Callithrix jacchus: one gene and its partners. The protein of the gene in region 1 interacts with the protein of each later gene in a biochemical or structural test. Links are inferred from orthologs where the notes say so. Each region holds a gene or a part of one and is shown in the gene's direction. Other genes may lie near its edges.

Evidence for each region.
Region 2: the proteins of SIN3A (region 1) and MECP2 form a complex in vitro, tested with the Homo sapiens proteins (2 studies listed by BioGRID). The link is inferred for Callithrix jacchus from reciprocal best matches to the Homo sapiens genes SIN3A and MECP2.
Region 3: the proteins of SIN3A (region 1) and ZBTB16 form a complex in vitro, tested with the Homo sapiens proteins (3 studies listed by BioGRID). The link is inferred for Callithrix jacchus from reciprocal best matches to the Homo sapiens genes SIN3A and ZBTB16.

The regions. Positions count from the first base shown.
Region 1 is NC_133509.1:22,402,818-22,408,695, forward strand, and holds the start of SIN3A (paired amphipathic helix protein Sin3a), read left to right. Parts: upstream 1-1,820; 5' UTR 1,821-2,001; intron 2,002-5,878. UniProt on the Homo sapiens protein: Acts as a transcriptional repressor. Corepressor for REST. Interacts with MXI1 to repress MYC responsive genes and antagonize MYC oncogenic activities. Also interacts with MXD1-MAX heterodimers to repress transcription by tethering SIN3A to DNA.
Region 2 is NC_133524.1:149,944,707-149,949,949, reverse strand, and holds part of MECP2 (methyl-CpG-binding protein 2), read left to right. Parts: intron 1-3,079; coding exon 3,080-3,430; intron 3,431-4,202; coding exon 4,203-5,243. UniProt on the Homo sapiens protein: Chromosomal protein that binds to methylated DNA. It can bind specifically to a single methyl-CpG pair. It is not influenced by sequences flanking the methyl-CpGs.
Region 3 is NC_133511.1:13,928,763-13,934,005, forward strand, and holds part of ZBTB16 (zinc finger and BTB domain-containing protein 16), read left to right. Parts: intron 1-1,222; coding exon 1,223-1,390; intron 1,391-4,028; coding exon 4,029-4,258; 3' UTR 4,259-5,243. UniProt on the Homo sapiens protein: Acts as a transcriptional repressor. Transcriptional repression may be mediated through recruitment of histone deacetylases to target promoters. May play a role in myeloid maturation and in the development and/or maintenance of other differentiated tissues.

The DNA.
Region 1 (5,878 bases):
CCTGTTTCCTCAATGGCAAGCTTTCCCCACCTGGATTCTAAGTGAGGTCCTTAGAGCCTCTCTTTCTATTTCAATTTCCACCCCCATTTCATAGGGAAACTGAGGCTCAGAGGGAGGAAGAGACAGACTGTAACACCAGTCACTGACCATGCTAAGTGTAGGACCCAGATTACCTAACTAGTAGCCTCAAGCTCTATCATCTCTTCACACAGCAGGCCACAGGCTACCTCTTTCCCTCTCCTACCCACACTGAATCACTCACCCACTCCCCTTGAGTCTTTCTCAAATACAGCTGTCCTTCAATATTCTTCTCACCCATTGTCACTGTTCTGGTCATTCCTCCTTACCTGTCACCTGAATTGTTGGGACAGATTTTCCAGTAATTTCCTAACAGGCAGCAGGCCCCCATTCTTCCCACTGGACTCCAAGGTCCTTCACATTCTGCACACCCCACCTTATCCACATTAACTTCCTTTTTCTTAGTGCCTCAACAAACAGGTATTTTTTTCACATTGTGTGCCGTGGGTCTAGGTAGGCTCATCTCTCTGGAACACAGACATGTTGGGTGGCTTGTGTCCCCCAGAAACTCCTTTTGGTGGGAAGTTATGATAAATAAAGCAAATGATGCAAGGAAAGATCTGAGTCAAAGCTTTGACTTGCAGGCTGCTGAAGGTGGGGAGAGCTTTCAGACTGGGTGGCTGGGATAGAGAAAAGAAGCCTTCTCTTCCCCCAGCTATTCCTTCCACAAGAGGCACTTCTGTAGTCTCCAAACGCAGTATTACAACAGCCTCTGGGCCTCCCCTTGCTGCTTATAGGCACTTCTCAGTCCACCGTCAGAACCCATCTTTCTGCCAGGGTGCCAAACATCTTACACTATAGTTGTGGGCCTGTGACGGTGCTGCCTGCATATTCGGCTGTGCACATCCAAGAATTTCACCCAACTAAAAGTTGTAAAGTGGTTCCATTTCCACACCCCCAACCCTTTTTTATGGCTATAGCCACATATGAAGGTCATTTTTTTGCATTTACCCCTTTGTGTCCTTTGCTGACAATGACCTGCCCCTCCAATTCTGCTTGATGAAATCTTTAAGACCCAACTTGAATGCCACCTCCTCCATGAAACCAATTTTCCTTCAGCAGAAGGAATCTCTCTTCTCTGAGCTCCTATGGATGTCTATTTACATACACATTCCTGCCTTGCCTTAGTGCCTTACGTAGACTCTCCTCGGCTGAATCTGGAGCCCTTGGAGGGGTAGAGTAAGCACGTCACCCAGTCTGTAACTGCACCTAGCAGCAGATGCAGTATGAATGTCTGCCTCACCCACAGTAGGGACAAGTGCCTGCTGCCCGCGGAAGCAGGGCTTCCCGTTTGCGTTACTCGCTTTTAGGTCTACCTAACAGAGTGGACCGGACACGGTTAGGTCACACAGCCAGAGGAGTCTGCCCACCTCAGCCAGTGCCTAGGGTGCACCTACCTCCTATACTGTCTAGCTCCAAATAGGTTGTGTGTGTGAAGGAAGTTGGGGCCGGGTAGCCCGGCTGGCTCATCATCCGCATCCACCCTGAAGATCTCCGAGTCCCAGAAGGCCTCCTTCCAGTCCGAGGACCTCAAGAAACTCCAGTCGGCGGTGTGGAAGCTATAAGGGCCTCTACCACGGATACGTCTCTCACTAGCGTTTAGTTTAATAAATTTATTTATATTTTTTGGAAGGAGGGAGCATTCAATGAAGGGGAAGAGGCGGGGCGAAGGGCGGAGGCGGGCCCAGGGTGACTGACGTGAGCTCCGGGGAGCCAATGGCCCGTGGGGGGCGTTCCCCCCCATTCAGGACTCCTCGCCTGGCTCGGAAGGTATGTTAAACAGCTGCTTTTAATTTGGTCCCCCCAATCTCAGTCGTTTGGGGGGCTAATCCCCCGGCCGCTCGGTCTGGCCGGCCCGACGTGGTGTGAGCCCCACGGGCCCTGGGACCGAGCTGAGGGGAGGCTCGGAGTCCCGCGGCCGAGGTAGGCGAGGGACAGGCCAGGAAGGAGAGCTCTTGGCGCCGCCCGCTCGCCTGTGTGTGTGTTTCGAGCCGGGCCGGAGCCGTGGGGAGGGGGTCGGTCCGGCCTGGGTCGTCCCTGCGCCGGCAGTGCCGCTTAGTTTATCTCACCGAGCAGTCGGTTTTGGTAGGTTTTGGCGGCGTACTGGAGAAGGGGCGGGCAGGAGACCCCCGCTCCTGTTGTGCCTTTTTCAAAAAAAGAAAAACATTAGGAAGGAAAAGGGGGATTCCACACGCCGACTAGAACCGGGCCCGGGTTGCGGCTTGCAGGCTCGGCAGGGGGCGGCGGCTCGAGCATGGTCGGCAGGGCCCATTGAGCTTGCGGCGCCCGGAGTTGCTTGAGAGCTGGAGTTAGCGAGCGAGCCGGGGCCCGCGGCTTTCCCGACTACCCACGCTGAGCAAGGGCGGCAGCCGCCCCGAGGGTTTTGTTTCTGCCTGCAAACTTGTCGGAGGGGGCGGTGGGCGCGCTCTGGAGAGGCGCGGGCACAGTGGGCCCGCGGTTGTTATGGACTCGGGGGGCGGGGGCAACACCGGACTTGCGGGAGGGGTAGCCGGGGGCGGGAGAGGCCACCGGAAAGAGCCGCTGCGCCTCGCCGCTAACCCCGCGAGCTGCCGAGGCTCCGAACTCCCCGGCCGTAGCGGTCATCAGCATTCGGTGCCAGAACCCGGCAGGCCGCGAGCCGGCGAGGAGCTCGCACCGGTGGTGGGGAAAACCCCCAGGAACTCGGCGGCTTCGCCCCGCGGCCCCGGCTGATCTCCTTGCAAACATGGAGCTGCCTGCTTCCCCGCCCACCCCAAGGCGGCGGCGGCGGCGACTGCTGCTCTTTTCCCCTCCCCCGGCCGTGCCGCCGCCGGGCTCCCCCTTCCCGCGAGGTGCCACTGCGGGCCGCTCCGCGCGGATGGGGCGGGGGCGCGGGCGTGTGCGCGCCCACGAGGGGGTGGCCTGAAAGGGGCAGTGAAGGTCGGAAACTGGGAAAACAGTCTCCACGCTCGGAATCGGGAAAAGGAAATGCATCAGCGGGCGGGAGGGGCGCGGGGGGCGCGCCTGTCAGCCGGGATGGCGGCCGTGAGCGGGTAGGCGGAGCGCCGGCGCGAACCGTCCCGGCCGGGCGGGGCAACGCCGGGAGAGGCGGCGCAGGGGCTCCCGTCCACCGAGCGCCAGGCGGCCCCTGCCAACACTCCTCGACCCAGACTGTTTACTATCTACTCCACCGGCGGCTTGTGCAACCCGCCTGGAGGGGAGCTGAGGGGCGGGTCCGTTTCCTCTCTCCCACCTACCTCGGGCTCGCCCGGGGGCCCCGCCTTCTCTTGTCTTCCACTGGCTGGGTGAGACCCCCTTTTTTCCTCCTTCTCGGAAGTGGATTGGATGGCATTCTCCCGAGCTCCGCCTATCGGGAGGCCGGGCTGGAGTTTAAGTTGCTAGGATTTTTTTTCCGCGGAGGGAGGAGGGAGGGTTCCTGCCGCTGACAAGAGGCGCAGGGTCCCGCCCCCGCCTCTGATTGGTGGGACGAGTAGCCCGGCCTCCTCCGGCTTTGCGAGCTTGGAGTGGGAAGTCCACTCTTGTTCCCCGCCTCCTCCCTTCGCTCTTGAGCGCGCTCGGCACATGTGTGAGGCCCGCCTCGCTCCTTCGAACTGCCCTCCCGCCCGGAAGTCCTAGGCTCGGCGCCCTTGGCGAGGGGGGCGGGGATAGCCGAGAAGCCACACAAAGGTTCCACCGAGGCTCTAGACTTGGTAGCCTTCGGGGTGAAGCCAGGGGATTACAGTGAGGAGTGGATTTCGGTAGCGAAGCTCCGGAGGTTCTGCAGGGGTTGAGATCTGCACTTCGTGGCCGGGGCCAAGTACTGAAGTTCTGACCCTGTGGCTTGTCTATTTCCGCGCCCCTTGACTTCCCTGAGCTTAAACTGAGAACTCTGTAGACGCTGAAAGCGTTTGTTCTTCCCTAGGCAGGTAGCTGCCGTCCTTAGTTGGCTGTGTCTAAGATTCTTGACAACCTAGAGCGCTGGCCTGGGACCCTTTGGCGAGATCCAGCGCAGGTAGTACCCTGTGGTCACGGGAAGTCGTGAGCGGCCTAATGCTGGCTTGGGTTCTGAGTAGTTTTTGATACCATGGTGAGCCTGCCCCGTGATACTCAGTTTAGTGGTGGAAGGGGGCGCAAAGTTAGGAGTTTTGGGTCGGTTCTGCTGGAGTGCCACTTCCTCCTAGCATCCCAGCAGTTTGGCCCAGGGGTCGCTTCGTTGGTCTTATTTTTAGAGCTCCGTTCCGGGACAGGGCTTGGCTACTGGCGAGGCTGCTCCCACCTGTCGACTCCCCTTGAACTTCACAATTCGCTGTCGTGGTTTTGTGGCTCGAAGCCATCACTGGAGTCAGGCCCACCTGCTGCCAGAGCTCTTTCCTGGCCATTTCCACTGATTGCAGAGGGAGAACAGAGTTGGACCCAGGAGTGGGTTCGCCGTGCCTGTCCCTTGGGAGGAGGATTCGGCTTCCTCTGGAGTGCGGTAAAAACCTAATCCCGCCCCCTCTCCTGACGCTGGGAGAGTGTCCCCTCAAAGTGAAGTCAGCTCAGGCCCACGCTTTATTTGGTGAATAAATAAAAGCAGACTAGGAATTAAAAGCACTTTGTCTCACTGTGTGTTCGAGGCACTGTTACCTACACCAGAGAGGGCACAGGGACTGCCATTAACACTCTTGGCCAAGGAGAAGGTGAACAGCCGTTTTATGTCCCCAACTACGGAAGTTTTATCTTTTCTCTGAGTGTGACATGACCCCAAAGTTAATTTATACCGTGGCCTGTTTTAATCTTTTCCTCTCCTTTCTCAGTTCTTAGGATGCCTCCAGATCCACCGGGGAGATCGTGAGTACTTGTGCCTCACGCTCCGCCCTCCGGAGGCTTGCCAGGGCGGTGGCTGTTAGGGCCCGCCTCTCTTTTGGTTATCTCCGCCCTCCTAGGACTGCATCTTCAGCTCTAGAGAGTGGGCTGAATACCCCTGGAGTAATTTCTCTGCTTAGGTCTCCAGACCTTAGTTCTGTATTCTACTTGGCTGAAAAGAATTGCCAGCTGCTCCGGGTATTTGTGTTTACGAGGACGCTGTATGTAGAATGTAAACTAACTAGATGGGGACGATGAGTTCTCATTCTCTCATTTTTTTGTAAGGGCGTCCTCCAGGGTGGGCTGCCTTTCGTATTCAAATCCTAGGATGTGGGGGGGTCTGCTGATGAGCTCCGCGCTGCGTCCTGTCTTAGGCCCTGGAACTCCGAGCTTCAGTCTCTAGTGTAAACATTCCACAAAAGGACTGCTAAGGTTCAGCCTCCCCGCGCAGGGCGGAATTAGTTCCTTCCTAGACGGGCGCCCAGGCCAATGGAGGGTCCTACCAGCGCCAAGATAACCAATCCCATTCTTGGGGCGGGGCCTGGCCCGGCAGTGCTGTAGGCGGAGCCTGTTTCACTTACAGACATTTTACCCCACATCGGTTACTTACCTTCCTGGGGCGGTGGGAGAGCCAGGGGTAGTCTTCCAATGCGATGACCGGCGGAGGCGGGAGCCAACTTATTAGGCCTGTGGCTGAGACGCTGTGGGGTGGGATATGTGGTGTCCTCCAATGAGACGGGAAGAGCTTCCCGGCTTCCTCCAATAGTGTTGGGGCTCGGGGGTGGGCTTCAGCAGTCCGTCTCCAATAGGCGGGGTTGAGTTAGGGACGCTCCCCGCCAATAGAGGCGTGGAGAAGGTGAGCCGCTCCCCCTCCCCTCCCAGTCGTGGGGGGAAGGGGCGGGAAGTCAGCAGGCAGGCCTCCGTAATTGGCTAAGTCTTTGATGGGCGGGTATTGCGTCCTGTGCTGGAACGAAGC
Region 2 (5,243 bases), on another chromosome or scaffold:
TTGCACTCCCTGGGCTTTCTGGCACAAGATACCCCAGAACCAGAATCACATGTCTCTCCTAGGAGCCAATTCGGTGGGTTTACTGCCCCTGGAGTGTCATTGTTGGCCTTAGAATATGTCCCACTGCAGGTTTCCAGAGCAATGTAGTCAAAAGTTACTTGAAATAAATATTTGCTCTGTGGTATCGACAATTTGGTATAGAATTAAACTTGTTTGGCTCAGCGTAACGGCTCACACCTGTAATCCCAGCACTTTGGGAGGCCAAGGCGGGTGGATCACAAGGTCGGGACAAGGAAGACCAGCTTGGCCAAGATGGTGAAACCCTGTCTCTACCAAAAATACAAAAATTAGCTGGGTGTGGTGGCAGGCGCCTGTAATCCCAGCTACTCAGGAAGCTGAGGCAGGAGAATCACTTGAACCTGGGGGGCGGACGTTGCAGTGAGCTGAGCAAGACTCTGTCTCAAAAAAAAAAAAAGGAGACAGAGTCTCACTCTGTCACTCAGGCTGGAGTGCGGTGATGTAGCTATGGTTCTCTGCAGCCTCAGACTCCGGGCTCAAATAATACTTCTGCCTCAGTCTCCCAAAATGCTGAGATTGTAGGCTGAAGCCACCATGTCTGGCCCAAGCTCATTTGTTTCTATTTGCATTCAGTGTAATGAGGTTTTGTTACTTTTTGAATTTTATTTGGGATAATATAAACTTTTACATGATTCAGAAGTCACAATGACACTGATTCAGCTAGGTCTCACTCCTGTGCCTGTACCCTCAACTTGTTCCCACTGCCCCATCCAGGGAGCCAGTTTCATTAGTTCTTGGTATGTCCTTCCCTAATCTCCCTTTCTTACCTAAAATCGCTCCATCACAGTGTTTGGAGCTCTTGTTTAGTCCATTTGGAGCTGGACAGTACTCCAGTGTGTGGGTGCACCATAGTTTATTCAATAAGTTCCCTGGTGATAGGGATCTGAGGGATTGTAGCCTTTGGCTGGTAAAAATAATGCTGTAGCAAATAATATCATGCATATGTTCTTTGAGATTTTTGGAGGTGTCTCTAGCATAGATTTCTAGAAAGCATTCCTTAGGTCACATTTAGGTTTATACTTTGACCTCATGGTGATTAGGGTATTCGGGAATGCAAATGAGAGTTTCGAAGAAGCCAGATCTTTTCCAGTAGTTCACTGTTTTTCTCTGACATCAGGACCGTCCAGGTTCCAAGGAGCAGCTGTGGCATTAGGCAGTGCCATGATGGATTGTGTGGAAGTACTGATTCCCGTCTGTCTGCTCTGTTGGCCCACTCTGCCGGTGGCTCCCCTTCTCTCCCTCCTTTATGGGGAACTGCCTAGGGGGCCATTCTCAGAGGCTGATCTTGGATGGGCCACAGGCCACACCTAGCTCCCCAGGGTTCTTTATCATTTCACATTGAGAGCTCTGTACTGGAACAGATTAGGGACCTCCACTTTACAATAAGTAAGACTGCTCTGTGGGTTGTAGGATGCCTCTTAATATGCAGTGACTCGGCAGCCACGCCTTGGCCCCTAAACTGCTGGAGGAAGTTACAGTTTGGGAGAAACTCAGGGGTGAGTTACAGTGGGGACAAGACATTCCCTCACTCTAAGACCTTGTCACTAGATTGGAGCTGCTCTTGCCTCCCTACACCTGACCTAACGGTTCTGGAGAGGTATGTCCTTGTAGCTTCTGACTCCCAGTGCCAACCAGCCTTCAGTAATTTCCCTACATCATTTGAGTCCTGGTTTCCCAAGGATGCTTGCCAGTGTGTGCCGTGGTGCCCTCACTGAACAGTCTGTGCAGTGTAGACAAGAGGGGGAGTCTCTTCGGGTAGACCAGCCACAAGACGGTGACCAGCACTGATGAACCACGTGGGACAGGGGAATTGTGGGGCTGAGAACCTGGAGCGCAGGATAGTCAGGCTCTTTTCCAGAATGAACTGCTAATGAAGGGACTCGCAGGTGGCTGCTGCTTTCCAAGCTGCCCCTGTTGTTGCTGAGACTCTGAAGTCCTAGGAGGTTTCATGGTGGCATACTAGACAGGTTAGTAAAGCATCATGGCCAGACACTGATTCTGGGGCCTGGGGCCTCACGGTGGCCATTTCTGAAGAGACCCTACCAGGCCAAAGTGATGTGCAGAGAAGGGAGCTGCTTCTGTCACCAGAAAAGAATGGGGAGGACTCCCATCCTAGAATAGGAAGGGTGCTCTTCTGCACCAGCAGGAACGGGACACATGGCTCTACCTGGACCACCCCTTTTTCCTTGCTCTTCCCTCTGCATCTGCTGTGGCTGAGGCTATTCCTTGTCAGGGAATGTCTTGTGTTAAAGGCTCACGCCACCTGGGAGCACTTCTCTTATCACCCCAGAACCTGGGTGGCAGTTTCTTGTGACCTGAGTTAGCCATTATTTTTATAGTGCCATTGTACCTTTTCTCCCATGATGCTCACACTAAGGATGCCCAGATGGGTTTACCCATTGTCAAGATAAGGAAACGGAGGCACAGAAGGCTGAGGTCATTTGCTGGGGTTCATGTTTGGAAACTGGCAAAGGATTTGAGTGCAGTTTGGCTCCAAACCTGTGCTTTCCGTAACACTATGGTGTGCCTCATTGAGGATTTATTCTAGAAAACCAAAAAGACGCCCAAGCCCTGGCCTTCACAAAGGAGACCCCCACCCCCATTTGACTCCCTTTCCAGCATTTGACAGTCTCTTGTCAGGCATCGAGCCCAGAGGCCTGTGAGGTGCGACTCATGCTGGGGTGGGATGCTCAGGAGCCACGCAGTGATTCTGCTCAGAGGAAAGGGCTCCGACTCTTCTGCAATGCCAGGAGTGAAACTTGCAGGTGGCCACAGTGCAGGTCGGCCACGCCGGCCAGCACCACCAGGGCCCAAGTTCCTAAAGAAATATTTGGGTCCCAGCTTGGCCTGAGGCCCTGTTGTCCTGGAGAAGGACATCAAGATCTGAGTGTATGATGGACCAGGGCCTTGCATGTGGTGAGCGTCCAAGCCTGCCACTGCTCATTTGTTCTGCAGACTAGCATGTTCTTTGTGATACTTACATACTTGTTTAACACTTCAGGGAAGAAAAGTCAGAAGACCAGGATCTCCAGGGCCTCAAGGACAAGCCCCTCAAGTTCAAAAAGGTGAAGAAAGATAAGAAAGAAGACAAAGAGGGCAAGCATGAGCCCGTGCAGCCATCAGCGCACCACTCTGCCGAGCCCGCAGAGGCAGGCAAAGCGGAGACGTCAGAAGGGTCAGGCTCCGCCCCAGCCGTGCCAGAAGCTTCTGCCTCCCCCAAACAGCGGCGCTCCATCATCCGTGACCGGGGACCCATGTATGATGACCCCACCCTACCTGAAGGCTGGACACGGAAGCTTAAGCAAAGGAAATCTGGCCGCTCTGCTGGGAAGTATGATGTGTATTTGATTAAGTAAGTAAGAGCAACTCCTGTCTCTACAGGGCAGGGAGGGCAGAGACGGGGATCTCTCATGGAGCAGGAAAATGTAGTGCCTAACCCCACAACGGGGGTGGGGGGACCATAAACAGTGAACACCAAGAGCAGGTATGCTTGAAATGACTGTGTGCAGAGGTCAATGTCCTCTATCCTCTCCGCGCCTCGAGTTCTTATCTGGAGATGGAATAGCTGCAGAAGCAGAGGAACTTGCAGAGCCAGGGGTTCTGAGGAGGAGTGAAGAAGCATATTTCTGTTGTGCCCCTTAAATGATCCCAAAAAGGTTAGCAGTTTTCACATGACATTGGCAGATAGCCTCATTTAATTCCATAACCCTGAGAAGAGTGAGCAAAGGATTATCTTGTTGAAACTGATTCCCAGAGAGTTTGAGCACCATACCCGAGTTCAGAATTAGGAATGTTCTAGATGGTGACTCAGGCCCAGGAATGTTCCAGATGGTGACTCAGGCCCAGGCACCAAGCAGCAGAATGGGCCTCAGTCCAACAGCCCCTCTGTACCAGGCCTGACTCTTTGGTTGCTGGACTTTGGAGAGGCCTGGGGAGTCAGGGGCAGGGAGATGAGTGAGTGTCTTTGGTGACAGACAGATCCTCAGGGGCAGCTAGGCAGTGTGATTCTTGTTCAATAGTAACATTTATCAGAGCGTTGTCACCACCATCCGCTCTGCCCTATCTCTGACATTGCCATGGGGAACCTCTAATTGTTTTTTGTGTCTTTCCATTTGTCCTCACAGTCCCCAGGGAAAAGCCTTTCGCTCTAAAGTGGAATTGATTGCATACTTCGAAAAGGTAGGCGACACATCCCTGGACCCTAATGATTTTGACTTCACGGTAACTGGGAGAGGGAGCCCCTCCCGGCGAGAGCAGAAACCACCTAAGAAGCCCAAATCTCCCAAAGCTCCAGGAACTGGCAGAGGCCGGGGACGCCCCAAAGGGAGCGGCACAACGAGACCCAAGGCGGCCACGTCAGAGGGTGTGCAGGTGAAAAGGGTCCTGGAGAAAAGCCCTGGGAAGCTCCTCGTCAAGATGCCTTTCCAAACTTCGCCAGGGGGCAAGGCTGAGGGGGGTGGGGCCACCACATCCACCCAGGTTATGGTGATCAAACGCCCTGGCAGGAAGCGAAAAGCCGAGGCCGACCCTCAGGCCATTCCCAAGAAACGGGGCCGAAAGCCAGGGAGTGTGGTGGCAGCCGCTGCTGCCGAGGCCAAAAAGAAAGCCGTGAAGGAGTCTTCTATCCGATCTGTGCAGGAGACCGTACTCCCCATCAAGAAGCGCAAGACCCGGGAGACGGTCAGCATCGAGGTCAAGGAAGTGGTGAAGCCCCTGCTGGTGTCCACCCTCGGTGAGAAGAGTGGGAAGGGACTGAAGACCTGTAAGAGCCCAGGGCGGAAAAGCAAGGAGAGCAGCCCCAAGGGGCGCAGCAGCAGCGCCTCCTCGCCCCCCAAGAAGGAGCACCACCACCATCACCACCACTCAGAGTCCCCAAAGGCCCCCGTGCCACTGCTCCCACCCCTGCCCCCACCCCCACCTGAGCCCGAGAGCTCCGAGGACCCCACCAGCCCCCCTGAGCCCCAGGACTTGAGCAGCAGCGTCTGCAAAGAGGAGAAGATGCCCAGAGGAGGCTCGCTGGAGAGCGACGGCTGCCCCAAGGAGCCAGCTAAGACTCAGCCCGCGGTCGCTACCGCCGCCACGGCCGCAGAAAAGTACAAACACCGAGGGGAGGGAGAGCGCAAAGACATTGTTTCATCCTCCATGCCAAGGCCAAACAGAGAGGA
Region 3 (5,243 bases), on another chromosome or scaffold:
CTTTCATCCCCCAAACCCCCCACTTTGGGTATGAAATGCAAGATGGTTATTCTCCACACCCCAGCCTCTCATGCTCTGGGGGATTTAAGAGTGGAATCCTCAAAAAAGAGGCCGATGGACTTAGATTCCAGACCTAGAAAAGGCAGTTCTCTCCAAGTTTCATAGACACACCATTTCCTGAGTCTGTTCTGGGTTCTCCCTGTGTGATGTCCTGAGGCTACAAGGACGGGTGAGGCTGGCTTCTTATCCTGGTGGTGCTTCCATGCTGGAGGTGTGGTGGGCAAGCCAGTAGATGCAGCACAGTGTGTCAACAAGCTGACAAATATGTGGTACCCTGACTCTGGAGCCAAACCCAAACCTGAATCCCAACTCAGCTCCTTACTTGCTGTTTCACTGGGATGATGTTGAAGCATCTCCAAGCATCTCATCTTTCTTCAACTATATGATGAGAATAATATCTTTATTTAAGGTTGTTGCCATGATCACCTGATACGATCACATCACACATCTGAGTGCTCAGGAAATGTGGGCTATTTTAATGCAAAAGTCCCGTACAAATTATACCACACTATTAAAAGAACGAAATTCTGGGCATTTCTTCTCTGTGGGGACACAGAGGAAAGTGTGAGTCATTTGGCCTGGGGAACTAAAGGGAAGTCCACACAGGGGTATGAACTGGGCTTTGAAGGATGATTAGGAGTTCACCAGGGAGAAAAGAAATTGAGCAGAGAAAACAGCTACGTAAGAAATTGGGGACTGTTGAAGGTATTTGGGAGACAACGTGAAGTTCCCCAAATTGGAGAGATTTCTTTGACTCCAGGCGGAGTCAGACTGGAGTGATTTTCACCCTTAACCTAGAGGAACGTGAGAAGAGGTCATCTAAGAAGCAGGATGGTGAGGTCTCAAAGCCCTGAGGCCTGCTGTATGTATCCACATGGGGGCATGCTTTCTGGGGGCTGCTGTCCATCCCTGAACCAAATGGGCTCTCTTTTCCCAGGACTGGCCCTTGCCCCACAGATGATCACGGGGCCACAGTAAAGTATGGACACATGTGAACACAGGTATTGCTTGTTTATTCAGTGGAGGTGTGGATCTTTAAGTTGTCTTTGGAGGTGGCAAATACAGGTTGTCTCATTCCTCTCATGCACTGAATGTGCCCTACTGTCTCCTGAAGAGGGGGCAAGGAACGGCAAAGACCTGATCCAGCCCCTTGTCCCCACAGGTGACCACCCCTATGAGTGTGAGTTCTGTGGCAGCTGCTTCCGGGATGAGAGCACACTCAAGAGCCACAAACGCATCCACACGGGTGAGAAACCCTACGAGTGCAATGGCTGCGGCAAGAAGTTCAGCCTCAAGCATCAGCTGGAGACGCACTATAGGGTGCACACAGGTACTGAGGGCCAGGGAGGGGCCTGAGCTGGCTCTCAGACCTGGGTGGAGGTGGAAAACCGATGGTCTGTCGGAGAAGCCTAAGTGAGAATGATCCCAGGCTGAACCAAAGAGTAGAAGAGGTTCTATTAAGGGCTGGTATGGTGGCCTGAGGACCATCACACCCCAGTCAAGGCCAAGGCAGACATTACTAATCAATCCCAGCACACTTTCCAATGAGATCCTGCCAGCCCTCCAGGCAGCTATACCAGTGGTTCAGAGGTGACATGCAAAATGATGTCTGTATGTGAGCACTTAGCTGAAAGTGAAGGTTAGGGTAATTTCAGTTGGAGTAAGAATTAGGGTGCATTGAATTAGGTTATTATGAAGGTCGGGAAATTGTAAAGTGAGCTCGTGTTTGGTTCTGAGATTAGAGGAGCAGATACATTTAATAATCCCTGTATGCATATGAGGTTTTACCATTTCAGAGTGCCTTTACATTCTTTTTTTTAAAAACTTTTACTCTTGTTGCCCAGGCTGGAGTGTAATGGCACAATCTCAGCTCACTGCAACCTCCACCCCCCAGGTTCAAGCGATTCTCCTGCCTCAGCCTCCCAATTACCTGGGATTACAGGCATGTGCCACCATGCCCAGCTAATTTTGTATTTTTTTAGTAGAGACAGGGTTTCGCCATGTTGGTCAGGCTGGTCTCAAGCTCCTGACCTCAAGTGATCTACCCACCTCAGCCTCCCAAAGTACTAGGATTTCAAGTGTGAGCCACTGCACCTGGCTACATCTTCTTTATATTGGACAAAGAAATATAGGCTACTCTTTTTCCTGAGGTCAGAAGACAAAATAAGCAGAGGGTCTTCCACAGTTTCCCAAGCTGGGGGCAGTGGAGTCCTGGAGCTGCACGTGCTTTGTGAAAGCTAATTTTTCAGATTTCTTCACAACTTCAAGTTCGGTGACCTCACCTTGGTTGCTCAAAATTGGCCCTGGGAGGAGTCGTCACATCATTGCAATTGGCAGATGCTACAAACCAGGGCTTTTTGGAAAGCCAGTTGTTAAACATTTACCACCAGCACACTGCTGGTTGTGGGGAAGGATGATTCACAGAAGAATAAGAGGTGGTGGAACTTGGAAAACAAAGATGCCCCCTCTGATCAGGGGAGACAGCTGTCCTGTCCAGAGGAAGGAGGAGAGGTGGCCTCAGGCAGGTCCTGCTGGCTTAGGGGAGAGTACATTGCCTTTAGAGGGGAAGGGTAGACCGAAGGAGCAGTAAGCAGAGCTGTGTGTTGTCAGAGCTCAGTATTCTTGCCCCAGTTTGAGCCCACAAGGAGAGGGTGAGGTGTCCATTGCTGACAACTACAGTGACCCAGAGGATTTCCCAGAGCCCTGGGGTTTCCCTAGCCCCTTGTCAGGGATGTGACCTGGCAGGTGGATCATTAACTGTATTGGCAGTGACTATTGTAAATAGCTGGTCGATAGTTAGATCACTTTGGCTGTTCATTACTTCATTATTTGCTGGGGCCTGTGCGTGGAGGAGTATTGATAGCGAGATGGCTGGCCAGTTAATTACTGTATTGAAACAAGGTTCTCTTACATCCTCTGCTCGCCTCCAGGGGACTCTGTGGAAGGAAAGTTGGGGTATAGAAGGCTAGGGTGTGGCTGTGCACTCCCAGGGTCTTTATTCCTCCCATCCCGCTCTACCCCCAATTCCAGCCTCAGGAGGGATGCAGGGTCTGCAGGGCAAGGTCTAGAGTTTTTAGCAGGATAGGCTGGGTGCAGTCGCTCACACCTGTAATCCCAGGACTTTGGGAGGCCGAGGCAGGCAGATCATTTGAGGTCAGGAGGTCAGGAGTTCAAGCCCAGCCTGGCCAACATGGTGAAAACCTGTCTCTACTAAAAATACAAAAATCAGGCCGGCGTGGTGGTGGCACCTGTGATCCCAGCTACTTGGTAGGCTGAGGCAGGGGATCGCTTGAACCTGGGAGGCGGAGGTTGCGGTGAGCTGAGATTGTACCACTGCTTTCAAGCCTGGACAACAGAGTGAGACTTTGTCTCAAAAGAAACAGCTTTAGCAGGATACATGTCCCCAGGTGTAGCATACTTGAAGGGGACACTCGGGGTTCCCTCAGTTTCCCCCCACCTCTGCTCCCCACCATCTGTAGCCCTGAAAGGTCTTGATCCACCTACTCCCTGGATGGAACTGTGGCTTGTGGCTTGAAGAGCCATTCCTGAGGACTTTGGGACCTTTCTCCTTCTAGACATCCATTTTCTTAATTAGAAAGGGAAAGACTTTGGCCTCGGGAGAGTTGAGAATAGTAAGATAAGGAGCTGGGCAATCCAGTAGATTATTAGTAAGACAAGTAGAATAGTAAGACAAGGAGCTGGGCAAACTAGCTACGTGTAGCTATTTAATTAGTTACCATGAAATAAAAATTGGAAAACTGTAGAGCCCCGGTCGAACCAGCCTCGTTCACAGCCGTGTGTAACTGGTGGCTGCCATCTGGGGTGGTACCTTGGTTGTCCCAGGAAGTTCTGTTGGAGTAATCCCTGCTGCAGGAGCCCAGCTTCTCCGGCACCCCCGAGGATGACTTGGGGCCCTCACTGCCCTCTGTCTGTCCTCACTTTCTCCTGCCCCATCTCCCTACCCTCAGGTGAGAAGCCCTTTGAGTGTAAGCTCTGCCACCAGCGCTCCCGGGACTACTCGGCCATGATCAAGCACCTGAGAACACACAACGGCGCCTCGCCCTACCAGTGCACCATCTGCACCGAGTACTGCCCCAGCCTCTCCTCCATGCAGAAGCACATGAAGGGCCACAAGCCCGAGGAGATCCCGCCCGACTGGAGGATAGAGAAGACGTACCTCTACCTGTGCTACGTGTGAAGCGGGGCCCGTGGCGGTGGAGCCAAGCAGGGAGCCAGGAAAGAAGAGTTGGAGCAAGATGAAGTCAAGGAAGGACTGTGAAAAAGAAAAAAAGGAAAAGAAAAAAAAAGAGAAGAGAAAGGAAACCTGATAGCTTTTTGGCCTTGGATTCTCTCTGGGCTCCAGATGACCTGGATGCCAAGCCACTGCCCCTCCTCTGGGGGCCTCCACCCTCCCCTCCCGGCTGGAGGTTTGCCTGATTTTCTGCTATGGGGTGGGGTATGTCGTTCACTCAAATGGCGGCAGATTTTTCTCCTCCCTCCACCCAGTCCTTCCTTTATGTATCCAGAAACGGAGGCTAAGAAGCAGGTGAGCGGTCCTCTGGTAAGAGCCACACAGTCTCTGCCGACCTTCCTCCCCCAGCCCCCCAGAAGATGAAGGGAGGGAAGATGGGGCTGGGCAGCGTCACTAGTTGCTCAAATGGGGCTGCAGATGGGGCTGGGCTGGGTAGTTGCTCAAAATGGCAACTCCAGTTTGCTGGAGGCCAACTGGGGAGAGGAAGGGGTCTGTTTCTCTTCCCACCACTCAGCCCACCTGCTGCTTCCTCTGCTCTGCCACATCTGGGTGTCCCCTGGTGGTCTCGGAGAGCCTCGAGGCCCCTCCCCCCCAGCTCTTTGTTCCCAGCCTCCCCTTGACTCCTGTCCTCCAAGTCCCAGGGGAGTCCCCGCCCCTCAGGGACCTAGCGGTGTCTCCATCCTTCTCCACTTCCCTAGTGGGACAGCTGCCTCTGACTCCAGAGCCCTCCTACCCTCAGCCTTCTGAGAACACAAAACAAATCGAATACCCCACCCTAGTCCAGCCCCATCGTGAGCAGGATTCCTGCTGCGCTGCTTCCAAAATGGAAAAGCATCACAGCTAAATATCTAATGTCCTACCAAACAAACAACAGTCCCTACAGTGGCCCCCTCTTCAGTCCCATGGAGGGTTTATGATCCAAGGGAAGGCT